Stegostoma tigrinum: one gene and its partners. The protein of the gene in region 4 purifies or fractionates together with the protein of the main gene of each other region. This does not show direct contact. Links are inferred from orthologs where the notes say so. Each region holds a gene or a part of one and is shown on either strand. Other genes may lie near its edges.

Evidence for each region.
Region 1: the proteins of vapal (region 4) and vps13a purify together in Homo sapiens (co-immunoprecipitation; 3 studies listed by BioGRID and IntAct, counting the BioPlex papers as one, with this or other methods). This does not show direct contact. The link is inferred for Stegostoma tigrinum from reciprocal best matches to the Homo sapiens genes VAPA and VPS13A.
Region 2: the proteins of vapal (region 4) and oxysterol-binding protein-related protein 10 purify together in Homo sapiens (co-immunoprecipitation; 4 studies listed by BioGRID and IntAct, counting the BioPlex papers as one, with this or other methods). This does not show direct contact. The link is inferred for Stegostoma tigrinum from reciprocal best matches to the Homo sapiens genes VAPA and OSBPL10.
Region 3: the proteins of vapal (region 4) and wdr44 purify together in Homo sapiens (affinity purification with mass spectrometry; 3 studies listed by BioGRID and IntAct, counting the BioPlex papers as one, with this or other methods). This does not show direct contact. The link is inferred for Stegostoma tigrinum from reciprocal best matches to the Homo sapiens genes VAPA and WDR44.

The regions. Positions count from the first base shown.
Region 1 is NC_081356.1:64,816,803-64,824,655, reverse strand, and holds the start of vps13a (vacuolar protein sorting-associated protein 13A), read left to right. Parts: upstream 1-4,838; 5' UTR 4,839-5,049; coding exon 5,050-5,149; intron 5,150-7,853. UniProt on the Homo sapiens protein: Mediates the transfer of lipids between membranes at organelle contact sites. Binds phospholipids. Required for the formation or stabilization of ER-mitochondria contact sites which enable transfer of lipids between the ER and mitochondria.
Region 2 is NC_081355.1:27,335,469-27,343,373, reverse strand, and holds the start of oxysterol-binding protein-related protein 10, read left to right. Parts: upstream 1-4,890; 5' UTR 4,891-5,633; coding exon 5,634-5,935; intron 5,936-7,905. UniProt on the Homo sapiens protein: Probable lipid transporter involved in lipid countertransport between the endoplasmic reticulum and the plasma membrane.
Region 3 is NC_081368.1:69,285,368-69,292,502, forward strand, and holds the start of wdr44 (WD repeat-containing protein 44), read left to right. Parts: upstream 1-4,128; 5' UTR 4,129-4,185; coding exon 4,186-4,373; intron 4,374-7,135. UniProt on the Homo sapiens protein: Downstream effector for Rab11 which regulates Rab11 intracellular membrane trafficking functions such as endocytic recycling, intracellular ciliogenesis and protein export.
Region 4 is NC_081358.1:115,000,425-115,007,255, reverse strand, and holds the start of vapal (VAMP (vesicle-associated membrane protein)-associated protein A, like), read right to left. Parts: upstream 3,019-6,831; 5' UTR 2,918-3,018; coding exon 2,860-2,917; intron 1-2,859. UniProt on the Homo sapiens protein: Endoplasmic reticulum (ER)-anchored protein that mediates the formation of contact sites between the ER and endosomes via interaction with FFAT motif-containing proteins such as STARD3 or WDR44.

The DNA of each region.
Region 1 (7,853 bases), on a different chromosome or scaffold from region 4:
AGATGACTAATGGAATGCTGGACTTTTTATTTAGAGAGCTGGAGAATAAGGAAGCAGAACTTATGCTGTAGCTATTAAAAATCTGGTCAGATCCCACTGTGAACAGAATGTGGGAACTTCACCTAGAAAAGGATATATTGGCCCTGGAGGCAGAGAGATTAGGAAGAACTTATACACATAAAGGATGGTAGAGATTTGGAACTCGCTTTGACAAATTGATAGCAGACTGGCAGTTGATAGTAGAACAGTTGTCAGTTTTAAATCTAAGATAATTTTTATTTGTTAACCAAAGATACTGAAAGACATGGACCAAAGGCAGGTAATATAGAGTTAGGCCACAGGTCAGACATGATCTGATTGAATGGAAGAACTAACGAAAGGGGCTGAATGGCCTATTCCTGTTCTTATGAGTGGCCCTATCACAATTAAACAGCTCGTGATGGTATCATTCAAGAGGTCATTGGAGTGCAGAATCCTCTCAAGTCGAGAGGGAAATTCACACAGAAATGTGAACAAATGAAACTGCGTGTGGAGCACGACAAAGCATTTGCTTGTAGAAACACAGTAAATCTGCAAGTTAATCAATTAAGGCATTATTGCATTCCCCTGTAACTCAGAGTGTTACCGGACTATTAGTAACATCTGATGGGAAAAATCATGTAAATAAAAACCAAACGGTCTTAAAATTACATAGACAATTTCTTCACTCTTTTTATCAATTATAAGAAATCCTTCTATGAGATGCATGCAGGATGATGGAGTATATGAGGCTCATAATGCCGAGTTGTGGGCAAGTAGTTAAGGCAATGGATTTGAAATTCATTGAGGACAAGCCTATGTTTATTTGAAACCTGCCGATTATGGTTCAGAATAATAAAATGTGAGGCTGGATGAACACAGCAGGCCAAGCAGCATCTCAGGAGCACAAAAGCTGACGTTTCGGGCCTAGACCCTTCATCAGAGAGGGGGATGGGGTGAGGGTTCTGGAATAAATAGGGAGAGAGGGGGAGGCGGACCGAAGATGGTGAGAAAAGAAGATAGGTGGAGAGAGTATAGGTGGGGAGGTAGGGAGGGGATAGGTCAGTCCAGGGAAGACGGACAGGTCAAGGAGGTGGGATGAGGTTAGTAGGTAGATGGGGGTGCGGCTTGGGGTGGGAGGAAGGGATGGGTGAGAGGAAGAACAGGTTAGGGAGGCAGAGACACGTTGGACTGGTTTTGGGATGCAGTGGGTGGAGGGGAAGAGCTGGGCTGGTTGTGTGGTGCAGTGGGGGGAGGGGACGAACTGGGCTGGTTTAGGGATGCGGTGGGGGAAGGGGAGATTTTGAAACTGGTGAAGTCCACATTGATACCATTGGGCTGCAGGGTTCCCAGGCGGAATATGAGTTGCTGTTCCTGCAACCTTCGGGTGGCATCATTGTGGCACTGCAGGAAGCCCATGATGGACATGTCATCTAAAGAATGGGAGGGGGAGTGGAAATGGTTTGCGACTGGGAGGTGCAGTTGTTTGTTGCGAACTGAGCGGAGGTGTTCTGCAAAGCGGTCCCCAAGCCTCCGCTTGGTTTCCCCAATGTAGAGGAAGCCACACTGGGTACAATGGATGCAGTATACCACATTGGCAGATGTGCAGGTGAACCTCTGCTTAACGTGGAATGTCATCTTGGAGCCTGGGATAGGGGTGAGGGAGGAGGTGTGGGGGCAAGTGTAGCATTTCCTGCGGTTGCAGGGGAAGGTCCCCTAACCTGTTCTTCCTCTCACCCATCCCTTCCTCCCACCCCAAGCCGCACCCCCATCTACCTACTAACCTCATCCCACCTCCTTGACCTGTCCGTTTTCCCTGGACTGACCTATCCCCTCCCTACCTCCCCACCTATACTCTCTCCACCTATCTTCTTTTCTCTCCATCTTCGATTTGCCTCCCCCCCTCTCCCTATTTATTCCAGAACCCTCACCCCATCCCCCTCTCTGATGAAGGGTCTAGGCCCGAAACGTCAGCTTTTGTCCTCCTGAGATGCTGCTTGGCCTGCTGTGTTCATCCAGCCTCACATTTTATTATCTTGGATTCTCCAGCATCTGCAGTTCCCATTATCTCTGATTATGGTTCAGAAGACTGCTTTAAAACAAATGCGTGCCAGTTTAATTACTGGGGCTCTTGTGGCAGAAGAGGCCTAGTTTCAAGTTACAACTGCTTCAAATGTGTGTCAAAACATATCTTATCAGATTGATTAGAAATATTTATATGAAGCTTATAGAAGAGATTAGTGTACAAAGGAGGTTGACATCCCATCAAGTTATGCTTGCCACTTGCATGTAACTTTTCTGAAATAGCCGCTGCCGATCTAAAGGTTTAGGAAAATGAAAGGAAAACTTCAGCACTACGCTTTATAGACATGGAAACTAGATTTAAACTTTCTACATTTACACCTGTCAAGAACAACAGGATGTTTAGAGACAGTCACATAGAAATGGCAAGCCTGCAGACATGGGCAATGACTAATTTCCAGATTGATAATGAAAAGGAATCTGCTAATGACCAGTTGATAGATTTGTGTGAAAACATGAACACCACAGTCATGAATATTGTTGCTGAAGTTCTTTTTTAAATAGTGAAAGGAATCACGTAGTGATTGATGAAATACTGCAGAGGGTCTGACCAGAGCAAGCAAGCAGAAAGTTGACAAATGCATTGGCATGAGCTGCTCATGCAGAGAATTTGCCTTGAATGTTTTGTTTTATTCATTCATTGTTAGTCTTGCATTTGTTGTCCATCTCAAATTGTTAACAGTTCCTTGTCAGCCACATTACAGTGGGTCTGGAGTCACAAATAGGCCAGACCAGGTAAGGATGACAGATTTCATGCCCTAAACAATATTAGTAAACCAGCTGGATTGCTATGACAGTCAACATTAGTCACACAGCCACCATCAACTGATTTACAATTTCATATTTTTATTAAAACCAAATTCTACCATGATGGTATTTGAAACCATTTGCCCAGAAAATTAGCTGGGAGTTCTGGATTAAACTCCAATGACATAACCACTGTGTGAGCACCTTCCCAAGGCCAACATTTGTTGCCTATCCGATTGCCACTTGAACAAATTTGCTGGGCAGAATATAGATGGGTTTTTATGACAATTGATTATAGTTTCACTGAAAATCTATGTTTCAATTCCAGATTTATTTGTTTAATTAGTTTAAATTCCACTGGCCATCACAGCAGGATAATGGATGTGAGTTTGCTCGCTGAGCTGGAAGGTTAGTTTTCAGATGTTTCATCACCATTCTAGGTAACATCATCAGTGAGCCTCCGAAGAAGTGCTGGTGTTATGTCCCGCTTTCTATTTATCTTATCATTATTAGATTATCAGGATCATCTGGAGTCCATCACCCTGGACTTCTGGATTGCTAGTTCAGCGACATCATCACTATGTTATTTATTACTACTTCCCCCTCAGTGAAACTTCATGGACTGACAAAAAGGGGTAAAAGAATGGAAACTAAGGATGTGCAATGTGAGTTCTCATAATGGATCCAAGACTGCACTTACATTGGAGAACAATCATGTACTTCATAGAGAGTCTCTGACCTTGACTGAAATTCTGCCTGACCTTATGAGGAATGAGTGCATTCAGATCCTGCCTGGCAAGCCTTGCACCTATTCATCACCAGGGAAGCTCATTTGGTTGGATAGCTGGTTTGCAATACACAGTAAAGTCAATAGTGTAGGTTCACTTCCAACACTGGCTGAGGTTACCGTGAAGGTCTCTCCTTCTCAATTTCACCCTTTACCTGAGATATGGTGTGACCCTTAGGTTGAACCAGTCATCTCTCACTAATGACAGAGCAGCCTTATGATCTGGTAGGATTATGGTACCTTTGCTTAACAAACAGAAATTGCTGGAGAAACTCAGTAGGTGTGGCAGCATCTGTGGAAGCTACTTCTAAAACAAGAAAGTTAGATTTAAAGTGATGTGCAAATGAAGCAAGAGTGATGTGGGGTAAAACAAAAGTTACACTGTGAGTTTACTGGGAAATGTGGTGGAGGCAGGTTCAAATGAGGCCTTGAAGAGGACATCCGACGATTATCTCGATATAAATGGCGTGTCGGGATATAGGGAAAAGGCAGGAGATTGGCACCAGCTAATAAAAAAGGTGCAGGCTAACTCTTGTCGCTCTATCCTACACTTCCAGCCCACTCCTTTAAACAACATGAAGATAATGATTTCAACTATAATTTTAATTACGTGTGTTCCTGTGCTACCTAATATTACGAAATAGTGTAATCCAGGGGCGATCTACAATGTGCCTTTTGGATGCTCACGATGCAGTCCTTTAAAAAGCAAGAAGACAATTTCTCCAGGTCCCTTATGTGCGTTTCAGCTGTTTTCCTTTCGCCAAAAAAGCAACATATCTCATTCAGCTTACTTAGATTCCGACCAGTGAATTTCCCACACAAATATTACCGTATTATTTGAAAATTCATCGTATGATTTAAAAAACAGCCATAAACACCTTCACGAATTATTTGTTTCAATACCTCAACGCAGTTTTATCTCATTTGGGACCGTTCAAATCAACTGCCCTCGTCACTCGCTGATCAAAATTAAAACTGTCAATAAGTATTTCTTGTTTTTTAATACCCTCTCCGAAGACCAGGATTCCGGTAGAGTGTTATATTTAAAAATAACTTAAGCTTGCCGCTATGAAAAAAAACTCCTCTTTACTTCACTGAATCCAACTGTGGTTCTGCTGACACCGACGAGCACCCGCAGCTGCGGAAGCAAGCAAAAGGCGGCGGTCAGAATTGAGCGCGCTCAACGTGAGCGTGCATTCTTTTTCCGATGAGTTCGGAGAGTTGTCGTTGGAGTAGTGAGGGCGTCACTCTGAAAGAGAACGAGGCATCGCTGCTCGCGCTAGTTCCGGTTCGCTGCAAGATCGTTTTCTTTTGAATCCTTTGGTTTGGTTGTGGCGCTTGGCGTTCGTGCTGGTTAGCAGCAGCAGCGGAAGCGGAGGCGGCCCAGTCGGGCCGAGAATGGTGCTCGGAAGACGATGGTGTTCGAGTCTTTAGTGGTCGAGGTTTTGAACCGTTTTTTGGGGGATTATGTGGTGAACTTGGACACCTCGCAGTTGCAATTAGGAATTTGGGGAGGTAAAGTTTTTAATTTGCGCGTTCGCCTCATATGCTGGATCTATATATAATGTCTGGGTATTTGACAAGTACCTGCGTGAGTAGCCATCACAGGGTGTGGAACCCAGCTCCCTGGAGAAGAGTGATCCGCGCACCAGGATCCTGCTGTAAAATGCACCATGGCAATTTTCTTATCATTTTTTGAAGAAATGATTGATTTGAGTAGTTCGCAATCAAATAAATAAATATCATTGTTTTGCGTATTGTTTGGCGAAATATTTCATGTTGCAAAGCAGCAAGTAGCTTTTTGTGCAAATGTTTCTTCAGTGTTGCATGAATTTATATTCCGATCTTTTCAAATTTTAGTGACTGTACATATGTATATACTAGATAGATGCTGCTCGCTGTGTTTATATTTAATTTGATACAGAACTAGCACTTATACGTAACGAATACTTTAAACATGTCGCCATGGATTATACAGCTTGCTATCTTTTCATTTCTTCTTTCTGTGCTTCTCCAGTACATACAACTGGTATTACCTCAGTTGCAATCATGTAGACACACGTCTTTCTGTGAATGTTGAAAACACAAGTACACATTAAACCTTCTCTGGTACTTGTCAAGCAGCAGCGAATTTGAAGAATGGCGTATAACTCGGGAGTTGTAAATTCCGAAAGACAGGATTAATAGGTTTAGACAACCTGAAAAAACGGGATTTTCTTTTTCCTTCCAATGCTTTATTTTCAATTTTTCTTTCAAAAAATTATGGTGTCACTGCTGACATGATTTTTGATGTTTTGCGACAAGGATTTGCTTTAATTAGCCTGATGTCCGGTGGACCAGTGTAACGTGACAAAGCTGCTGTTATGTGCTCTTATGTTTTAGCATATGTTTTACAGCAAGTACGTTGGAACAATTTATTTGCTATGAAATGTTATGGCAAAATATTTGATAATTAGTATTACTTCTGCAACCTTAAATTGTATAGTAAAGATAGCTGCAAGCACAAAGTGTTATGTTATGGTTCATGCATTTAAATTTACACAATTGAAAGCAGTTTACAGAAGGTTTGCTATGCTGATTCCAGCATGAACCTCCTGCATGAATCGGTTGTTTTATGTGGAAGTGTTTTGTAACTTGGCCCTATACTCATTGCTGTTGCGAACAATTCTATATTCTGTTTCAACAGAATATTCTGAGGGGCTTGGCAAATCAAATCCTAGAATCCTGACAGCCTCAGGTCGATCTCAAGGATATTTTCTTTTTGCTTAGGAATTTTGTACTCGATGTTATTGAAAAGAACAATCTTCCTGTTAAATCAGAGATAGTAAGAACTGTAGATGCTAGAGTCAGAGATAAGTGTGGAGCTGGAGGAACACAGCAGGCTGGGCAGCATTAGGAATTCTGAGAAAGGGCCTTGACCTGAAACGTCAACTTTCCTGCTCCTCTGCTGTCTGGCCTGCTGTGTTCCCCCAGTTCCACATTAGATTGTCCCCTTTTAAAACAGTGTGATCCTCAGATCAGAGATTATACACAATCAGTGAACCTGCTCCCTCAAAGAGCACTGGGGATTGTGCAAGAACTAACATTTCTTTGTGAAATGACATCTTGCATGGTTGTATTAAATGGTTGAGCAGGGCCAATGCGTCAAGTGGTCTTGCTGCTCCTACCTCTGTTATGATCTCATTGTAGGGCTTCCCAAGGTAGGGATCAGGACCCCAAGCAGGGTCGGGAGCCGTGAGGAAGCAATGGCCACTGTGGAGCCCTGCCCTCGTGACCTTCTGCACAGTGGCTCACATCTTCTGCACTGTGTTCTCCATGTTCACTGAGGGGGTCATGACAATTAAGCATTAAAATGGGGTCATAGTCGGTAAAATGTTAGAGAAGCTTTGTCTTCTAGATTGAAGTTGATATATCTGACAGTTCAAAGCACCTGTGGAGGAAGAGCTGACGATGTGTGAAGATAACTCATTGAAAGCAGAAAGGGGCATAACTTGTCAAACTTATGTTCGGTATAGCCAATAATCATATTTGAAATTTGAACACTTACAACATGGTCAAGCAATAATCGAACTGGTTATTCTCTATTTATAGAATTATATTGTCTCATTAGGATATCCAGTCATATCTTGAAACCTGGTACAGCCCTGCAGAATGTAGGCATTAACTTGGATTGAGGCAATGCTGATTTATAATTATTTTCAAAAAACTTTTAAAGTTTCAGAATGGATAAGAGTGTACAGGCATAAAGCAGTAAGATCAAACTTTTTTTTCCTTTTTTGATCTTTAGATGCTGAGCTACTTGTTACATCCATTTGAAATACTGTTTTGAAACTTCTCACCATTAAATTAGAAATTATTCATGCACTGTTGTTATTCAGAATACAGTCCTACATTTGTTACTCCCTGACCATTATTTTACTGGTTCCAATAACCCATATAAAATAAATTGCTAATGTTCCCATTAAGTAGTGGTTAGAGGAATGTTTGAGGGTTAGTTTTAGATTAGCATATTGGTCTATGACTACTGTGGTGAAAAATGACCACTCTTGAGTCTGATGCGAAATAAAAGCAGAATGACAGCACCTGCAGTTCTATCAGGAACAAAAACAGAAGTTGCTGGAAAGACTCAGCAGGTCTGGCAGCATCTGTGAAGAAACAAATCAGTTAATGTCTCGGGTTTCGTGACCCTTCCTCCAGAATTGTTCAGTCAGTATGGTTT
Region 2 (7,905 bases), on a different chromosome or scaffold from region 4:
AATTTATTTATTTAACTATCACAGAGAACACATTAACATATTAACAGAACTACTAACAAACCAAACAATTCACCATTGACTCCCAACCTCCTATGCTCCAATGAACCTCCTCTGGATCCCCTCCAAGGCTAAAGCATCCTTTCTTAGATACATAAGAGGCTACTGAATGAAGATTCTGAATCAAACATTATCACAGATAAATCACTATCTGATTTTATTTCAAAATTATGAAAAGTTGGGGAGAAATTAGTTCTGCAAAACTAAAAGTGAATGGAGCTGGGATCATCATCTCTTTAGGAAATTGTTAGGGGGAAATGATGGCTCAGCGGTACTGTCACTGGACTAATACTGGGAGAATGGAAGAGAATGGAAAAGCACAACATCTTTAAAGCTGAGAAACAAGATAATGTCAATATGTGGAAAGATTGTGTGAGAATACACACAGATCACATGGAAAAGTTAATCTGCAGACACTGTGAACAAATGGAAGGAGAATAAGAAGAGGAACATTTAAAAAATAGGAACAGAGGTAGAGTTTGCAGCCCTTTGACCTGCTGTACCATTCCTTACATTTGATCATCCAAATCATTTGCTAGTTCCCATTATTCGTTCATATCCCTCGATTGCTTTAGGTCCCAGTGCTGCATTCAACTCCTTAAAATGTTTGGCCTTGACTGTTTTCTGTGCTAGTGAATTTCACAGGCTTACCACTTTTTGCTGAAAAGATTTCTCGTCACTTCAGTCCTAAAATGGCCTACCCCATGCCCTTAGGCTCTGATTCCTGGTTCTGGATTCACCAGTTATTGGGAGCATCTTTCTGGCATCGTCCAAATCATACTGAGCATTTTGCGTCCTCATCACAGTTTATCCTCCGACATGGCTTCGTGTCACAGTATCTTGGCCTTTGTTACCCAGGCAGATGGAGTATAAAAGTAAGCACGTTTTATACAATTACATGGGGTTTTGAAAAGACCACACCTGAAGGTCTGTTCACAGTTTTGATCTCCACAGAATTTACTTATTTTAGAGGGATCTTGTGGTGCAGTGGCACTGTCTCTACCTCTGGGCAAAACATTCCTGGTTCAAGTCCCATCTACTTCAGAGGTCTGTCATAACATGTCCAAACAAGTTGATTAAACATATCTATGTAATATGAGACTTAATAAAGGTTCACTTGATTGAACCTTCAGTTAGAGAGAAATAGAAGAGCACCATGTAGAAGCAGGTGTAGACCATTTTGATCTTCGAGCTTCTCTATCATTTGACGAGATCATGGCTAATAGTCTAACTCAGTACCCTGTTGCTGCTTTCTCTTCACACTCTTCAATCTTTTTAGCCCCAAGAATTATATCTCCTTCTTGAAAATATACTATGTTTTGACTTCAAACACTTTCTGTGGAAGAGAATTCCACAAGTTCACCCACTCTCTGGGCGAATAAATTTCTAATCTCACTTCTAAATAGCTATCACATACCTTAAACTGTGATTAAATAGTAGGGACTGCCGATGCTGGAGAATCTGAGATAACACGGTGTGAAGCTGAAAATGGGAAGGGTCCCGACCTGAAACGTCAAACTTTCTTGATCCTCTGATGCTGCTTGGCCTGCTGTGTTTATCCAGCTTCACGCCATGTTATCCCTTAAACTGTGATACCTGGTTCTGGACTCCTTGATCATCAAGAACATTCTTCCTCTGTTTACCCTGTCTAGCCCTGTCAGAATTTGATACCTTTAAACTTGCTATGAATTCCTTCAAAACTTGATGGGACAAATGCTGAAAGTCTGCCTCCATGAATAGAGTATCTAGAGTTAAGGATCACAGTTTCAGGATAAAGTTGAGCCATTTAAGACCAGGCTGAGGAGATATTTCTGAATAAAAGAGGGGTTGAATCTTTGGAATGCTCTAATCTGAAAGACGATGGATGCTTACATTATGACTGTGTTCAAGACAGATTCAATACAATGTGGAGTCAGGCAGCATCAGAGAAGCAGGCGATAATGTTTCAGGTCAAGTCCCATCTTCAGGCTTGGAAAGGGGCAGGGAGCTTGGAAATAAATAGAGGGAGGAGGGGAAGATAGGTGGGATGGCGACAAGTAGATGCAGGTAAGGGGTGGTGGGGAAGATGGACTGGTTGCATCAGGTCAAGGAGGTGGGGATAGAAAGCGAGTTGGACCTGCGAATGAAGCCGACAGCAGGGAGATATTGAAACAGGCGAAGTGACACAACCCACGCCCTCCACCTCCTCCAGGACTTCCAATTCCCTGGCCCCCAACACCTCATCTTCACCATGGACGTCCAGTCCCTATATACCTGCATTCCGCATGCAGATGGCCTCAAGGCCCTCCGCTTCTTCCTGTCCCGCAGGCCCGACCAGTCCCCCTCCACCAACACCCTCATCCGCCTAGCCGAACTCGTCCTGACCCTCAACAACTTCTCTTTTGACTCCTCCCACTTCCTACAGACTAAGGGGGTGGCCATGGGCACCCGCATGGGCCCCAGCTATGCCTGCCTCTTTGTAGGTTACGTGGAACAGTCCCTCTTCCGCACCTACACAGGCCCCAAACCCCACCTCTTCCTCCGGTACATTGATGACTGTCTCGGCGCCACCTCTTGCTCCCCAGAGGAGCTCGAACAGTTCATCCACTTTACCAACACCTTCCACCCCAACCTTCAGTTCACCTGGGCCATCTCCAGCACATCCCTCACCTTCCTGGACCTCTCAGTCTCCATCTCAGGCAACCAGCTTGTAACTGATGTCCATTTCAAGCCCACCGACTCCCACAGCTACCTAGAATACACCTCCTCCCACCCAGCCTCCTGCAAAAATTCCATTCCCTATTCCCAATTCCTCCGCCTCCGCCGCATCTGCTCCCACAATAAGACATTCCACTCCCGCACATCCCAGATGTCCAAGTTCTTCAAGGACCGCAACTTTCCCCCCACAGTGATCGAGAACGCCTTTGACTGCGTCTCCCGCATTTCCCGCAACACATCCCTCACACCCCGTCCCTGCCACAACCGCCCAAAGAGGATCCCCCTCGTTCTCACACACCACCCCACCAACCTCCGGATACAACGCATCATCCTCCGACACTTCCGCCATCCACAATCCGACCCCACCACCCAAGACATTTTTCCATCCCCACCCCTGTCTGCTTTCCGGAGAGACCACTCTCTCCGTGACTCCCTTGTTCGCTCCACACTGCCCTCCAACCCCACCACACCCGGCACCTTCCCCTGCAACCACAGGAAATGCTACACTTGCCCCCACACCTCCTCCCTCACCCCTATCCCAGGCCCCAAGATGACTTTCCACATTAAGCAGAGGTTCACCTGCACATCTGCCAATGTGGTATACTGCATCCACTGTACCCGGTGTGGCTTCCTCTACATTGGGGAAACCAAGCGGAGGCTTGGAGACTGCTTTGCAGAACACCTCCGCTCAGTTTGCAACAAACAACTGCACCTCCCAGTCGCAAACCATTTCCACTCCCCCTCCCATTCTTTAGATGACATGTCCATCATGGGCCTCCTGCAGTGCCACAATGATGCCACCCGTAGGTTGCAGGAACAGCAACTCATATTCCGTCTGGGAACCCTGCAGCCTAATGGTATCAATGTGGACTTCACCAGTTTCAAAATCTCCCCTTCCCCAACTGCATCCCTCAACCAGCCCAGTTCGTCCCCTCCCCCCACTGCACCACACAACCAGCCCAGCTCTTCCCCCCCACCCACTGCATCCCAAAACCAGTCCAACCTGTCTCTGCCTCCCTAACCTGTTCTTCCTCTCACCCACCCCTTCCTCCCACCCCAAGCCGCACCTACTAACCTCATCCCACCTCCTTGACCTGTCCGTCTTCCCTGGACTGACCTATCCGCTCCCTACCTCCCCACCTATACTCTCCTCTCCACCTATCTTCTTTTCTCTCCATCTTCGGTCCGCCTCCCCCTCTCTCCCTATTTATTCCAGAACCCTCACCCCCTCCCCCTCTCTGATGAAGGGTCTAGGCCTGAAACATCAGCTTTTGTGCTCCTGATGCTGCTTGGCCTGCTGTGTTCATCCAGCCTCACATTTTATTATCTTGGATTCTCCAGCATCTGCAGTTCCCTTATCTCTGAAGTTATTTCCCAGCTCCCTTCCCTCTCCTCAGTCTTGAAGAGTCCCAATCTGACACTTTAACTTTTCTGTTCCCCCTATGTTCAAGACAGAGATCTTGAAGACTCTAGAGTACTACGTAAATCAAGAAAATGATTAACATTTGATGGGGACATTCCGCCAATACTTATTGAATATGGAAGCAAATATGATGGCCAAGTGGTTCGCTCTTGCTTTATGTTCTCAAAATGTTCTTAATGTTCAGAAATAATACTCGAGATTACATTCAAGCACGTCTTTATTCATTTGCAGGATGTGGGCATCATGCTAAGCTGACCATCTCCAATCTCTTGAGAAGCTGGTTAGTGGGCCACTTTCTCGAATCACAATTTACAAGGATTACCACAAATCCTCGCGTTTTGCTCCACTTATCGGAATACCGACTAGAAATTGTAAATTGAGAATATTTGGTTGGTTGGATACGACAAACGAAACCGCAATTTTATGGGAGCGAACTACTTCCTTCTGTACATGTTTCAGAAAAGTTTTACATCCGACAAGCAGGAAAATTGACTATTCGCGTCGAGATCTTTCTTCGCGGTGGAGGGAGGGGTGGGAGAGAAAAGATTTTTTTTAAGTGTCGTTATTTATGGGGACATCAACAGCGCCGAAGTGGTAAAGTTAGTTCACCATTTGGTCTTTTGTAAAGAGGTATAGTCAGTTTTACAGGGGACTGCGCCGCTCGTGCGTGGACGTCCAGGCGCACGTTCCCGCTTTACGTAACCGTGCGCGAGCTCCAGCCGAGGGAAGGAAAGTACAAGCTCACCGAGACGAGAGACGGAGTCAGTGTCTCCAGGAATTCCGGACTCCAGTACGGAAAGGGAAGGGCTGCTGTGGACTGTTATGGGGATAGGATCACGAGGAAGCCAAGGCCATACAGCGCCCTCCGGCCATTGTGACAGGGTAGTAGAGAGCTGTACCCTTGTCAGGACCCACAGTATGCGTGCGTGACACGGAGACCCTCCTGACTTGACCTGACTGGAAAGGGAGAGAGTGCCAGGCGAGACGTCTCCTGGACGCGTATGCGCCACCGAGACGGGGCACCACGTCACTGCCAGCGAGAAGTCAGCAGATTTGATGAAGGAGGGACTCGTAGCGACTACCTGACAGAAAGTGGGAGGGGAGGAGGGGCAGCTGTGGGGAGGGGAACTAGTCCGCTGGTTTAACTCACTGACAGCGGCGGGGACAGCAGCAGTGGAGTATTTCTCTCGGTCGCCCTACGCCTTCGGACGGTGTGGCTCGATCACCGGACGTTTGTTAATCGGAGCGTTCCATCGAACGTGCGCGACCCATCCCGCCCCCCTCTCCACTGCCCGGCGCCGCGAACTGGCTGCACGTCCTGGCCGCCGCGGTGCGAACTCTGTTCGCCTGTCACACTTTTTATTTTCGCGCTGTTGTTGTTTATAAACCCATCCCGTCCCCTTCCTTTTACTCTTTCCTCCGAAAAGAAAACGACAGCCAGCTTTTGTCGCGGTCGATGTTTAACACTGAGAAAGTGGCTCCTGGCGGCGCTGCTGCTGCAGCTGCTGGTGGTGGCGGTGGTGGGAGAAGGTTCTCTGGTTCTACGGGGGAAAGGGGGTCGTTGGCGCTGAAAGCAAACACCCAGGATAGGGCAAAGACCAACTGCAGCAGCCCGACCTCAGCAGCTGCAGCCGCGGATTCGTTGCGGGTAGTCCGCGAGGACCAGCAGAACCACCACCACCGTCATCCGGAAGCTGGCAAGGTTGTGGAGGGTTTACTCAGCAAGTACACCAATCTGATCCAGGGCTGGCAGCACAGGTACGAAATTAGGGAGAATGTGTATACGACTTCGTTTGGGAAATACGTTGGTAGCAATCTGCGCTTGTCGTTAATTGTATGAAATACACTCTCAACTTGAGTAATTCACCCATTATGTCTCGACATAGTGGCGAATGCGGTATAAAGGGAGATTGCAAGAACTGCCGATGCTGGATTGACAGTGTTCCGAAATTTTAACGTTCCTGCATGTTGTAATATGAGCTAAAATAGATTGATCTTCACAGAGCTAGTTGGACAAATGATTGAACTCGTGCCTCAAATAGGTATGTTTTTAAATAATACATCAAGCCCAAATGACCTTTTGGTTGAGGTAATCATTTAGTACGCTCTCTAATGGGTGCAGTGTGCTGATTAAAACCACTTTCCTGGTTACTACAAATATAATGAGATCCAAAATTGACAGCTCAAATCTCCTCATCGGCTTGTACTCATGAGGCATTATTTGAGTAGAAAAAATGGAAAAACTATAGTGAATTGCATGGAGATGATGTACTGTGAATTTCTGAGTTTGAATGTAGTAATCTGAAGTCTGTATGAATTTAATATATCAAATAGTTTAATGAGTAACCTTTCCACCTTCATTTCGTTATGCCTTCTGTGATCACTACGCATTGACGTGGGGTTTATTCTCTGCTTCGTACAGTGTTCCAGCAATGCTCAATATATAATGGAACTGAAATTTAATTTTAAATTCACTGTTTTACGAAGGCAGGTAATGACTTTAAGGCTGTGTTTCCAGGCTTTTGAGTACTGATCGTAAACAATCTGAACTTTGCTTATGCTTGTCAAACAACTTTACACCAGCCAACAGCCATGGAACATAGAACAGTACAGCACAGTACAGGCCCTTCGGCCCACTAAGTTGTGCAGAACTTTTACCCTAATTCTAAATTCTATCATTCATATGCCTAGCTAATAGCTGCTTAAATGGCCCTAATGAGGCTGACTGCACTACCCTCTCCAGCAATGCATTCCACGTCCCGACCACTGTCTGAGCAAAGAATCTACCTCTGACGTCTCCCCTATATCTACCTCCACTCATTTTAAAACTATGCCCCCTTGTAATAGCTACCTCTACCCTGGGGAAAAAGTCTCTGGCTGACGACGCAATCTGTACAGTAATGCCCAGGAGGAACTTGTTACCTTTACCTAGGCTAGCCAAATGAGATTCCAGGTACACACAGTTTTAACTGCATTCTGAAGTGTCCCAGCAAGTCTGCCACTGTTTCAAGAAGTTGCATCACCAGCATTTGTCAAGGCCAGTTAGGAATAATCAATAAATGCTGTCTTTGCCAACGACATCCCAATTCCTTTCATGAATAAATGTTTAAAAACCTTTAGGTGGAAGAGAGAGACAGCAGATCATATGGCACATCATCTACTCAGCAACACCAAATAAGCCAAGAAAAATAACACTTCTTTCTCAAATGTAGAAAATGCCATTTCTAAGGGGAACAAGGAATTTATTGTGGCAGCTGTCTGTCCAAATGCACACTTAAAGTGGTCAGTGTCGATTCAACCTCCTGGCTGGGCAGAAACTTTCTTGTCCCTACCATGAAGGTTACCCTGTGCACCAACCTCACTTATTTTTAGATGAGTTAAAACCACAAGCATCACAACAACTTATGATACCATGCCAGCAACTCTCAACAGCCATCAGGAGCACCAGCTGACAGGAGGAAAATGAGGGAAGAACAGCAAGAGTTCATGGAAGCGAGAACACAAAAAAAGGAGATACCTCAAATACTATAACACTGCTGTCATAATTTGCCAATCCATTCTTACTGTGAATGAGCTTTTTTTACCAAGCTCAGACAGTAAGAAAAAAAAAACTTGCACTGAATGTAGATAGAAATTTCTATCCCTGTCACTCTAGCTGCTTGCTTGGGCCCCTGAAGTTTGAAACATTGCTGGCTCCTTGGATGTTGAGTACACTTTATTGTCTCTCG
Region 3 (7,135 bases), on a different chromosome or scaffold from region 4:
TCAGAGGAGCAGGAAGGGTGATGTTTCGGGCCTAGGCCCTTCTTCAGAAATGTCAGCCTTCCTGCTCTGCTGATGCTGCTTGGCCTGCTGTGTTCATCCAGCTCTACACTTGTTATCTCAGATTCTCCAGCATCTGCAGCTCCTGCTAATTCTGGACTTGGATATGAGATGACACTGAACACTGGCAATTAGAGACAGGCCAATGTGATCTGGTTGCTATGGGGAAAGAAACTCAAACAGAAATCTCTTGATATATCAAATGGTAGTCTTCATACTTGCGACTTCTGCTATTTTAGACTGACGGAAAGACATGGCAGAGCAGGAGAAGCAAAGCAGCTGAGTCCAAGGGAAGAGAGAATTGTCTGATGTTCACCAAGCAGGATCTTTGTGAGGGTTGGTGTTCTTTTTGAAATGATGGAGAGAGAATTGATAAGGTATTTGGAGATTGAGGGAGCAACGAGTTGCCAAGGTGGGTCTTGCTAATGAAAGTCAGTTCTGAATTCAGATGGGTGGAGTTGTCTTTGGAAGTTTCAATGTGGTGCGGAAGAGAGAAATGCACCTGCTGGAGAGCCAGGAGTTAAGTCTGCCAACTCTCAGAGGAGGTACCAGTAAGGCTTTCACCTGAACCCTCCATCAGGTAAGGGACATGTACTTTCCTGTCTGGATTAGTCCCAGGAGCACAATATGGTGAGCACATCATTGATGTACCTCCGCATCTGATCAAAGAAGCAATAGTTAGGCTTTCTGACACTGAAAAGACTACTGGAGACCAGGCACCTGCTCAGCCCCAGCCAGAAGATGGGCCCATGGACTTGGATATTAGTGACTTTATCAAACACAGAAAACAGGAGCAGAAGTAGACCAGAGATAATGGGAACTGCAGATGCTGGAGAATTCGAGATAACAAAGTGTGGAGCTGGATTAACACAGCAGGCCAAGCAGCATCTTAGGACCACAAAAGCTGATGGTTTGGGCCTGGACCTTCATCAGTGAGCAGGATGGGGAGAGGGTTCTGAAATAAATAGGGAGAGAGGGGGAGGCGGACCGAAGATGGATAGAGGAGATAGGTGGAGAGGTAGGGAGAGGATAGGTCAGTCTGGGGAGGACAGATAGGTCAAGGGGGTGGGATGAGGTTAGTAGGTAGGAAATGGAGGTGTGGCTTGAGGTGGGAGGAGGGGATAGGTGAGAGGAAGAACAGGTTAGGCAGGCAGGGATGAGCTGGGCTGGTTTTGGGATGCAGTGGTGGGAGGGAAGATTTTGAAGCTGGTGAAGTCCATATTGATACCATTGGGCTGCAGGGTTCCCAAGCAGAACCTGAGTTGCTGTTCCTGCAACCTACGGGTGGCATCATTGTGGCACTGCAGGAGGCCCATGATGGACATGTTGTCTAAGGAATGGGAGGGGGAGTTGAAATGGTTCACAACTGGGAGGTGCAGACTGGGAGCTGTAGACCATTTGGCTCTTACTGCCTGCTCCACCATTCAATACAATTATGGTTGATCATTCAGCTGAGTACCCTGTTCCTACTTTCTCCCTATATCCTTCGATGTCTTCTAGGAACTATATCCATGTCTTTCTTGAAGGTCTTCAATGTTGTGGCCTCAATGGTTTCTTGTGGTAGAGAAGCACTGCAACAGCTTGCAGGTTTGTAAGTTGCAGTCAGTAAAATGGATCATAGGATGAAGGAGTTTGCCAACATTGTAAGTGCTGTGATGGTTCTGTCCTGTTATTTGTAAATGTTGTGGTGCAGAAATGCAGTTGGGCTACACACTGCTTCATTTGATAACTCAGCTGAGATTTCTGGCCCATTCTCTCTGGAATCATGGGTGCAATCTTTTGTGAAGCATCAGATTATTTAGCTACTCGTTACCTGCTCAGTTAACAGGCAAATATTTATGTTACATAATGCTTCTGAATACAGAGGGAATCAGCAGCAGCCAACAATTTTATTCAATGGACTATCTTGTGCCATCACCCTTCATTAAGAAAGTGCCACAAATCCTGTGTCATCTCATTGTTGCTAGTGTTGCACCACAAAATAGCTCTGTGCCATCTTATGATCGTATATGTTTGCCCGTGCGAAAAGCATTCTTCATGTGATGAAATTTAATTTTAAAAGAGGCATTATTTTTCAGACAAAGTATATTGTTTGGAGTAGCAATAACAAAAAAACTGTGCTGAAATGGTAGAACACAGTCACTGCAACATTGAATGTAAATATTGACTTAAATCACTGTATGTTTAATTGCGCTCTATAGTTCTGGTACATGTTGAAGTTTGTTCCAGAATTAACACCATTATTAGGTGATAAAACAGCTTTTATGAGCTAAAACCAATATATAGCCCAATTGAACTTACAAAATCCAAAAAAGTTACAGAAAATCATTAACGTTACAATTACCTTATTGTTAACATAATACACTGCCTGAAAAGGTTTTGAAGGTAGATTCAATCATTGCTTACAAAAGGGAATTGGGTATCTGCTTCTAAGGGAAACATTTGCAGTGCTTTCGGGAAAGAGCAGGTGAGGGGGATTACTTGGTTACTCCCAAAAGCCAGCATGATGGTCGAAATAGCTATCTATGCTATGTGGTTCAACAAGTTCTCACAGGAATACACAACTTATGAAAACAAAACTTGTTAAGTGTTAGATACACAAAACAAAGGCAGAAAATATTCAGGGAGAGAGGGGGAGGCGGACCGAAGATGGAGAGTAAAGAAGATAGGTGGAGAGAGTATAGGTATAGGGAGGGGATAGGTCAGTCCAGGGAAGACAGTCAGGTCAAGGAGGTGGGATGAGGTTAATAGGTAGATGGGGGTGCGGCTTGGGGTGGGAGGAAGGGATGGGTGAGAGGAAGAACCGTTTAGGGAGGCAGAGACAGGTTGGACTGGTTTTGGGATGCAGTGGGTGGGGGGGAAGAGCTGGGCTGGTTGTGTGGTGCAGTGGGGGGAGGGGACGAACTGGGCTGGTTTAGGGATGCAGTAGGGGAAGGGGAGATTTTGAAACTGGTGAAGTCCACATTGATACCATTAGGCTGCAGGGTTCCCAGGCGGAATATGGGTTGCTGTTCCTGCAACCTTCGGGTGGCATCATTGTGGCAGTGCAGGAGGCCCATGATGGACATGTCATCTAGAGAATGGGAGGGGGAGTGGAAATGGTTCCCCACCTGTAGGGGTTCTATGATGATCCCTTCCTCAGGCATAGTGTGTGAAAGAGGGTATAAGACATGGAATTTATGAGCAGAAAGGAAACAAGCCTAAAAGTGGCTGCCTCTTGGTGAATCTTTAATCAGTTAGGAAGAAGACTACAGATTAAAATGTAAAATCCAGATTCCTTTCAAGTCATTGTCCTGAGATAACTAAAGGTTTTATTAATGTATACAAGTGGTGACATCTCAGGTCAGACATTACATTTTAGGTGTGAGGTTTTAAAAAATCCCATTTAAAAGACAGATTCAAACAAACCAAGATAATAAAATGAGGCTGGATGAACACAGCAGGCCCAGCAGCATCTCAGGAGCACAAAAGCTGACGTTTCGGGCCTAGACCCTTCATCAGACCGTCAGCTTTTGTGCTCCTGAGATGCTGCTGTGTTCATCCAGCCTCACATTTTATCATCTTGGATTCTCCAGCATCTGCAGTTCCCATTATCACAGATTCAAACAAACCTGTTGGACTATAACCTGGGGAGGTTTGATTTTTGACAACGTCCACCCCAGTCCAACAACAGCATCTTCACATTTTGATTGAAATAGGGAAGCGAGTGGAAACTAACCATTTGCGTGAAGGTGTAGAGCTGGAGGAACACAGCGTGCCACGCAACATCAGCGGAGCAGGAAAGCTGGGCCTACTGCGTTCCTCCAGCTCGACACCTTGTTATCTCAGACTCTCCAGCATCGGCAGGTCCTACTATCTCTAACTGTTTGAGTGCTTTTTTTTAAAGAAGCAAGGTCCATTCGTAGAGCCCAGCCGAGTCAAGAAGCCACCAGCCACAAAGCTCCCCTAACCCGGACAACAGCACCCTCTCACACAACCGGACTGAAGGCTGCTCAGCACCTCCGATCCAACTCACGGCTAGAGAGCAAAGCGCATGCCCGTCTCCGACAGCCGGTTCTGCGCGTGTTCTTCCTTGCCACGGCTGTGAGTGCTGCGTGTGCTGGGGACAGGGGAGAGTGGGCAGTGCGCATGCTCTGGGCCTCGCCTGTCTCCGACGCGGGTTTCCGTCCCACTGTCTTCAGTCAACGGCTAGCAGCTCCGGGCTGGACCGGGAGGGTAAAATTGCCCTGTCTCATGTCAATGGCGTCCGATACCAGTGACGCTGAAGAGTTTTACGATGCGGCTGAAGATGTCCACGCGGTCCCATCGCCGGCCGCGTAAGTAGCGATAATGAGAGACTTAAGGGAGGGGGGCCTGACCCGGGGACAGTTCGTAGTGCCGCAGGGAGTACAGCCCCGGCCTGAGTAACCGTCTCTCCCGCTGTGCACTCCACCCTTCCTCTACTCACCCCGCGCACCCCACCTCCCTTCCTCTACTCACCCCGCGCACCCCACCTCCCTTCCTCGACTCACCCGGCGCACCCCACCTCCCTTCTCTTCTCCCGCCCCGACTACCTTTCTCTTCTTCTTCCCCACACCCCCCCCCCCAAACAACCGCCTTGCCCTTCTCCCACCCCGGGACCGCCATTGCCCTTCTCCCACCCCGGGACCGCCATTGCCCTTCTCCCACCCCGGGACCGCCATTGCCCTTCTCCCACCCCGGGACCGCCTTGCCCTTCTCCCACCCCTCCACCCCGGGACCGGGACCGCCTTGCCCTTCTCCCAACCCCGCCTTGCCCATCTCCCACCCCGCCATCCCGGGACCGCCTTCCCCATCCCCTTCACCCACCCCGCCATCCCGGGACCGGGACCGCCTTGCCCATCTCCCACCCCGCCATGCCCATCTCCCACCCCGCCATCCCGGGACCGCCTTCCCCATCCCCTTCACCCACCCCGCCATCCCGGGACCGGGACCCGCCTTGCCCTTCTCCCACCCCGCCGTCCCGGGACCCGCCTTGCCCTTCTCCCACCCTGCCGTCCCGGGACCGCCTTGCCCTTCTCCCACCCCGCCGTCCCGGGACCGCCCTGCCCTTCTCCCACCCGGCCGTCCCGGGACCGCCTTGCCCTTCTCCCGCCCCGCCGTCCCGGGGCCGTGGCCGCCTTGCCCGTCTCCCGCCCCGCCGTCCCGGGACGGCCTTGCCCTTCTCCCACCCGGCCGTCCCGGGACGGCCTTGCCCTTCTCCCACCCGGCCGTCCCGGGACGGCCTTGCCCTTCACCCACCCGGCGGTCCCGGGACGGCCTTGCCCTTCACCCACCCGGCCGTCCCGGGACCGCCTTGCCCGTCTCCCGCCCCGCCGTCCCGGGGCCGTGGCCGCCTTGCCCGTCTCCCGCCCCGCCGTCCCGGGGCCGTGGCCGCCTTGCCCGTCTCCCGCCCCGCCGTCCCGGGGCCGTGGCCGCCTTGCCCGTCTCCCGCCCCGCCGTCCCGGGGCCGTGGCCGCCTTGCCGGTCTCCCGCCCCGCCGTCCCGGGGCCGTGGCCGCCTTGCCGGTCTCCCGCCCCGCCGTCCCGGGACCGTGGCCGCCTTGCCGTTCTCCCGCCCCGCCGTCCCGGGGCAGTGGCCGCCTTGCCGGTCTCCCGCCCCGCCGTCCCGGGGCCGTGGCCGCCTTGCCGGTCTCCCGCCCCGCCGTCCCGGGGCCGTGGCCGCCTTGCCGGTCTCCCGCCCCGCCGTCCCGGGGCCGGGGCCGTGGCCGCCTTGCCCTTCTCCCGCCCCGCCGTCCCGGGGCCGTGGCCGCCTTGCCCGTCTCCCGCCCCGCCGTCCCGGGGCCGTGGCCGCCTTGCCCGTCTCCCGCCCCGCCGTCCCGGGGCCGTGGCCGCCTTGCCCGTCTCCCGCCCCGCCGTCCCGGGGCCGTGGCCGCCTTGCCGGTCTCCCGCCCCGCCGTCCCGGGGCCGTGGCCGCCTTGCCGGTCTCCCGCCCCGCCGTCCCGGGGCCGCCTTGCCCTTCTCCCGCTCCGCCGTCCCGGGGCCGGGGCCGCCTTGCCGGTCTCCCGCCCCGCCGTCCCGGGGCCGGGGCCGCCTTGCCGGTCTCCCGCCCCGCCGTCCCGGGGCCGGGGCCGCCTTGCCCTTCTCCCGCCCCGCCGTCCCGGGGCCGGGGCCGTGGCCCCCTTGCCCTTCTCCCGCCCCGCCGTCCCGGGGCCGTGGCCGCCTTGCCCTTCTCCCGCCCCGCCGTCCCGGGGCCGTGGCCGCCTTGCCCGTCTCCCGCCCCGCCGTCCCGGGGCCGTGGCCGCCTTGCCCGTCTCCCGCCCCGCCGTCCCGGGGCCGTGGCCGCCTTGCCGGTCTCCCGCCCCGCCGTCCCGGGGCCGTGGCCGCCTTGCCCGTCTCCTGCCCCGCCGTCCCGGGGCCGGGGCCGTGGCCGCCTTGCCCATCTCCCGCCCCGCCGTCCCGGGGCCGGGGCCGTGGCCGCCTTGCCCTTCTCCCGCCCCGCCGTCCCGGGGCCGTGGCCGCCTTGCCCGTCTCCCGCCCCGCCGTCCCGGGGCCGTGGCCGCCTTGCCCGTCTCCCGCCCCGCCGTCCCGGGGCCGTGGCCGCCTTGCCGGTCTCCCGCCCCGCCGTCCCGGGGCCGTGGCCGCCTTGCCGGTCTCCCGCCCCGCCGTCCCGGGGCCGTGGCCGCCTTGCCGGTCTCCCGCCCCGCCGTCCCGGGGCCGTGGCCGCCTTGCCGGTCTCCCGCCCCGCCGTCCCGGGGCCGCCTTGCCCTTCTCCCGCTCCGCCGTCCCGGGGCCGGGGCCGCCTTGCCGGTCTCCCGCCCCGCCGTCCCGGGGCCGGGGCCGCCTTGCCGGTCTCCCGCCCCGCCGTCCCGGGGCCGGGGCCGCCTTGCCCTTCTCCCGCCCCGCCGTCCCGGGGCCGGGGCCGTGGCCCCCTTGCCCTTCTCCCGCCCCGCCGTCCCGGGGCCGTGGCCGCCTTGCCCTTCTCCCGCCCCGCCGTCCCGGGGCCGTGGCCGCCTTGCCCGTCTCCCGCCCCGCCGTCCCGGGGCCGTGGCCGCCTTGCCCTTCTCCCGCCCCGCCGTCCCGGGGCCGGGGCCGTGGCCGCCTTGCCGGTCTCCCGCCCC
Region 4 (6,831 bases):
ATCCAAGCCAGTAGCTCACCTCGAACACCATGGGCCTTCACCTTGCTCAGCAGCCTCCCATGAGGCACCATATCAAAGGCCTTTTGCAAGTCCAGATAGATTTGACTGATGATACGTGCAAATGCTCTAGCCTGGTCTAATGCAATGATATCCTAGGTCCCACCATCAATGAGGATGGGGATACTTGTGGCATCTCCTACAACTCAGCATGGTCAAACTGCCACACAGATAGTGGAACAGATATTCAAAAAGGGCAGGACTCCATCTCCCCACAGTCTGTGTCATTCCTCTCAATGCTGTCAGAGAGGAATGCATCCGTGACAGATAGATTGGTGCGAACGAGGTCTTCCTTGTCCCTCTTGTTGGTTCCCTTGTTTGCTGTCACAGGCTCAACACAGCATTTATGACCTTGGGAGCTCAGTCAGTAGTGGAGCTACAAAGCTACAATTGCTCATTGAATTTTCTCACAGAGAACAAATCGTGCCCTTCCTATTCTCAACATTACTCCCAGACAGTATTCAACAATGAAGTACATAGATTTTTCAGTGGAGGGAGGACAGGAGGTGGTAATCCAGCATTGCCTGAGCTGAACCTGATGCCATCAGAGTTCACTGTTGCGAGAGTCAAAAATCAAGGACTTCCTGCAGTAGACTTTTTAACTTTCTGAGTTTGAGCTGTGGTGAGATTTGAAGTCGCATCTGTAAATCATTCATCCAGCAGCATTATCACAACATTAACATCCCTTCAGAGAGGTTATGATCAAAAACAGCAAGGTGGAATTCAAAGGAATTTCCAGACCCGAGTAAGAGGCTTCAAAGCCATTGGTGAATAGGAGGTGTGAAAGGTACCATGTGGCTTATCACGTTCCAGAGTCTAAGGTCAAATAAAAGTTGAAAACCCAGATTTTTGACAAGGGATGGTGGAGAGTGGTGAGTGGTAAAAACTGCTTGATTTCACTCAGCATAGCAACTGCAATTTAAATTCCTTCATTGAAAACTACTTTCTCCGCATAATTTAGTTAAATCAGAAATAAAATACCTAAACAATGGCAGGCTGAAGAAAGCTTCAACATGTCACACAAACTCCAGAAAACAAATGCCATAATCTCACCCTGAAGAGGATAAAACATTTCAGTCATTCCAGTTCTTAATAGAAGATTTCAAAAGACAAATGTAAATCTGTCAAGTCCATTTTAGTCTTTACTGATACTGACTTTTCCTCCTTATTCAAAATTTGACAAACTGAGCAATTTATTTATGACAAAACATTATGTTAATTTTCAGCAACAATACATTTGAGCGAAAATTAGCAGCATTTTTTAAAAAGGTCAAACTTAAATGTCATCTGGAATCAGCAATTAAGACAAGAGCATAAATTACTTACTCGATCTGTTCTTTGGAATGAAGCCTAGCCAAAGAAAGTGCAAGATCATGTCATACTAATGATCTTAAGAAACATAATCCACTTGGTGCCAAAGGGCAGAGATTGCAGCTCAGTCATGTCTCCAACAGCCTCGTTGGCACTTTGGGTGGAGCTAGTTAGTTCTATGGTAAAGTGTCAAAGAGACTAGCAATGCAACATCACATTAAGGTAAGCATACAGGTCAAGACATACTGAGGCTCTTCTCAAACAGCCATGACCCAAATATAGCATCAGGACTTGAAAATAAGTTTGAGAGAAACTGTTCTTATTCCCAGCACTGCAAAATCTCCAGACTCGAACACAAGTATCTAGTTATCCCAAACTTAATTTTGGTATTTAAGCCTGAAGCTTTTTTCTGTTTGAACACATTTCTTAGAACGTAAAAAAATTACGAAATAGAAATACTTAAAACCACCGTATGAACTGTCTGCTATTTCTGCCATAATTATTCAGCTAACTATATCTATAAAAACACACACGAAGGCTATCCCATTACACAGGGTAAGGATTCGATGTATCAATACACTGTTAGAAGTCTAGCTCCTAATTAAAATATTAAAAATTACTGAACCATTCAGTAATTTTTTTTAAGTGCTATCTGCTCCTTGTCATCTTTCTATGTTCCTAAGAGGCACTTCAGCAGACTGTTTTCCACTATTACAAATGGCAATTCTAAATATTTTGAAGTAAGGTTGAATATCTGTGCACAGAGACGTTGCTGAAAATAGACCACGGCTGCTAAACGCGTGAAGGATGCAATCTGGATGAAAAAAAATCTCCAGCCTCCGAATCCCATGTGCTCTGGGGCGAGCACAGCATTCGGCACCTTTCCCCTACTCAAAAGAGCTGGTTTCCGATTTCAGCCAGCAATAATAAAATAATTTTTAAAAAGACCAGGTAACGTGGGGCCCACTCTGCATAAACTGACTCATTCCACCTTCCCCCGGCAACACCCGGCCTCGGAGCAAAGCTGACATCCGCGAGAAAAAGAATGAACCGAACCGAGACGATCCTCGCGGAAAATCGCGGCACACTCAGTTCACACCGAACCCAGCCGCGGCAGACGCCGCCGCCGCCACCACCATCACGACGAAGCCGAGGATCCAGGCGCGGCCTAGTCCGCGCTACCAAAATGGCGGCTGCAGCGAGCGAACTGCCGGGGGATTCGAGTGGAGCCGGCCGGGGCCTCCCAATACCCCGGAGCTTGGTTGGTTGGGGGGCGGCGGGGGGAACAAGGATGAGGATAGGTGCTGAAGGACCAGCTCCCAGCCACCCACCCGGGACAAGGCAAACTACGGCGGCGGGCCACAGCCGCAGTAGCGAAGGATGCGAAGAAAACGGAAGAAGTGTGAATGTGTGAGACGAGCGGCACCCGGTCCGTGTAATGCAGAGTAACAATAACACATAAATAAATATGTCGGTGCGAGCGTCAGTCACCTTTGAATTTGAGCTCGACGGGCGGATCGAGGATCAGTACTTGCTCCAATCTGGCCATTGTCGTGGGGGGGGGGGGGCAGGGCTGATACTCAGAGCCTTTGCTGCCTGATGGCGCTTATCCGATCCTCTCCGGGATGAGGGGGAGGGGGGGGGGAGGGTAAAAGGGGCTGATTTTTTTTTCTCTCTTTCCCTCCGCCTGACTCGAGCTCTGCAGGACGCCGACGTGCGCGCACCCAATCAGCGCACGCCAAAATGCGTGCGCGTCCTCAGGCGCCGCCCCGGGGATTTGCTCGCCGGCCACGAGCGTGCGCAGTACGGCTTACCCCGTGACGTGCGGATGGGCTGACCGCGATGATGTGGCGCACTGGCAGAGGTCCCGCCTCTCGTCCGTGAGACGGAGGCTCAAGTGCCAAGTGCTCCTGAGCGCTGTAATACCAGAGGTAGTAGGAGCTGCTGATAACAAGGTGTAGAGCTGGATAAACACAACAGGCCAAGCAGTATCAGAGATAATAAAGTGTGAAGCTGGATGAACACAGCAGGCCATGCAGCATCTCAGGAGCACAGTGCTGAGCACAATCCTGAAATGCTGCTTGGCCTGCTGTGTTCATCCAGCTTCACACTTTATTATCTGGGATTCTCCAGCATCTGCAGTTCCCATTATCTCTGAAACAGTATCAGAGGAGCGGGAAAGCTGATGTTTCGAGTCCAGACCCTTCATCAGGAAAAACTATTATTAAAATATAAGTTGTGAATTAATCCTTTGCTGCAGTGTTGTGGAGGGGGGAGCGTAGATTGCTGTCTCTGGTTCTTCGATAACTCATGGTGCCAAGGGCTAATATCCTAGTGTGCCCAAAAACCAAGAGTTAGGCCTGTAATACAGGGGAAATCATTGAGTATATCCAGTTTGCACTGACAAAAAACCTTCTGTGGTAATCTCACTTTCTGGCAACTGCCCGTAGTTTTGAACGTTATGGCATTTCAGGTGCTCTTCCGCATTTAAAATAGATCATGAGGTTACTTTTCCTGGGAATGCATTCCAGATTCCCACTACTCTCTGAGTGAAAACAAAAAATCATTAAATCCCCTCTAATTTTCTCATCCTTCACCTTAAAATTGTACTTCCTCATTATTGAGCCTTTGTGAATGGTTTTTTCTCATTGGGCAAGATGTCACAAGTGGAATGCCTCCACCCCTCTTCCCCCAGATCAATGTTGCAGGGTCCTGCAGGTGGCTGAGGAAATAGCGGAGGCTTTGGTCGTGATCTTTCAAAAGTCACTGGAGTCAGGGAAATTGCTCCTGCTTGGCCTGCTGTGTTCATCCAGCCTCATATTTTATTATCTTGGAATTCTCCAGCATCTGCAGTTCCCATTATCTCGGAGTCAGGGAAAGTCCCAGATGATTGGAAAATTGCTGTTTTAACTCCCTTGTTTAAGAAAGGATCAAGGCAAAAGATGGAAAATTATAGGCCGATTAGCCTAACCTCGGTAGTTGGTAAAATTCTAGAATGCATTGTCAAGGACGAGATTTCTAAATTCCTGGAAGTGCAGGGTCAGATTAAAACAAGTCAGCATGGTTTTAGTAAGGGGAGGTTGTGCCTGACAAACCTGTTAGAATTCTTTGAGGAGGTAACAAGTATGTTAGACCAGGTAGATGTTATCTATCTAGGCTTCCAAAAGGCCTTTGCTACAGTGCCTCACGGGAGGCTGCTGAGCAAGGTGAGAGCCCATGGTGTTCGAGGTGAGCTACTGGCTTGATTGAGGATTGGCTGTCTGACAGAAGGCAGAGAGTTGGGATAAAAGGCTCTTTCTCAGAATGGCAACTGGTGACGAGTGGTGTCCCGCAGGGTTCAGTGTTGGGGCCACAGCTGTTCACCTCTGGCGAAGTTTGCCGATGATACGAAGATAGGTGGACAAGCAGGTAGTACTGAGGAGGTGGGGAAGCTGCAGAAAGATTTAGACAGTTTAGGAGAGTGGTCCAGGAAATGGCTGATGAAATTCAATGTGAGTAAATGTGAGGTTTTGCACTTAGGAAAAAAGAATACAGGCATGGACTATTTTCTAAACGGTGAGAAAATTCGTAAAGCAGAAGTGCAAAGGGATCTGGGAGTGTTGGTCCAGGATTCTGTAAAGGTTAACTTGCAGGTAGAGTCCATAATTAAGAAAGCGAATGTAATGTTGTCATTTATCTCAAGAGGGTTGGGATATAAAAGCAGCAAAGTGCTTCTGAGGCTTTATAAAGCTCTAGTTAGGCCCCATTTAGAATACTGTGTCCAATTTGGGCCCCACACCTCAGGAAGGACATACTAGTACTGGAGCGTGTCCAGCGGAGATTCACACGGATGATCCCTGGAATGGTAGGTTTAGCGTATGATGAACGGCTAAGGATCCTGGGATTGTACTCATGAGAGTTTAGAAGGTTGAGGGGAGATCTAATAGAAACTTACAAGATAATGTATGGTTTAGAAGGGGTGGACGCTGGGAAGTTGTTTCCGTTAGGCGGGGAGACTAGGACCCGTGGGCACAGCCTTAAAATTAGAGAGGTTAAATTTAAAACTGAAATGAGACGACATTTGTTCAGCCAGAGAGTGGTGGGCTTGTGGAATTCATTGCCATGGAGTGCAGTGGAGGCCGGGACGTCGGATGCCTTCAAGGCAGAGATCGACAAATTCTTGATCTCAAAAGGAATCAAGGGCTACTGGGAGAGTGCAGGGAAGTGGTGTTGAAATGCCCATCAGCCATGATTTAAATGGCAGAGTGGACTTGATGGGCCGAATGGCCTTACTTCCACTCCTGTGTCTTGTGGTCTAATGGTCTTATGGCCCTGCTTCTACTTATGGTCTCTGTCAGTGACTCGGCTGAAGGGGCCAAATGCATTGCTAAATCTTGCTTAATACACAAAGACAGGTAGGCTCTGCCAAAGTCTGCAATGGAATTTAGGTAAGTTAGCAGAACAGGAAAATGGAGTATAATGTGAGAAAGTGAACTTGTCCCCTTTGGCAGGAAAAGCAGTGTATTATTTCATGGAGAGAGATTGAAAAATCCTTAAGGTGCAAAGGGACCTAGGTGTCCTAGCATTTGATTTTTTTGCAAGGAGAATAGAATGTGAAAGTGGGATGTTTTGCTTTAGTTGAAAAAACCATTGGTGAGACCGTATCCGCAGTACAGTTTTGGGCTCCTTATTTAGGAATAGACATAGCTGCATTAGAAACTAGAAGGCATAGATGCACAAAAGACTGAGGAAAATCTTTTCACACAGTGAATAGTTGAGATATAGAATGCACTGCCTGGAAATATGATTGAGGCAAGTTCAGTTGAGATATTCAAGGATATTTGATCATTATTAAGATAGAAATAGTGTGCAAGGGAATGAGAAGAAAACAGGAGATTTCCACTAGGTAATGAAGATGTTTGAATTTGAAGAGCATATGCAGCTTCAATGGGTCAAATGACCTCCATCTGTGTCATAACAATTCTGTGATAAGAACAGTTAAAGGAGGGTTAACATTGTATCAGAAAAGGGTCTGGGCCCGAAATGGCAGCTTTCCTGCTCCTAAGATGCTGCTTGGACTGCTGCGTTAATCCAATTCTACGCCTTGTTATCTCAGTTTAAGGAGAATTCCTGGAATGAGGGTGTTACTGGAAAAGCTGAAGAAACAACACCTTATTTTCTGCCTGGGGACCTGACAGCCCTCCGGATTCAATATCGAGTTCAATAATTTTAAGGCCTGAACTCTCCCATGTCCTGGCCCGAATCGCACACACCAGGCATTGATTATAGGAATAGGGACGTTACGTTACAGTTGTATAAGTCGTTGGTGAGGCTGCGCTTGGAGTATTGTGTACAGTTTTGGTCACCCTGTTATAGGAAAGACATAGTTAGACATGAAAATGTGCAAAGAAGATTTACGAGGATGTTGCCAGGACTAGTAAACCTGAGTACCTGAGCTATAGGAGAGGTTGGCCAGGATAGAAC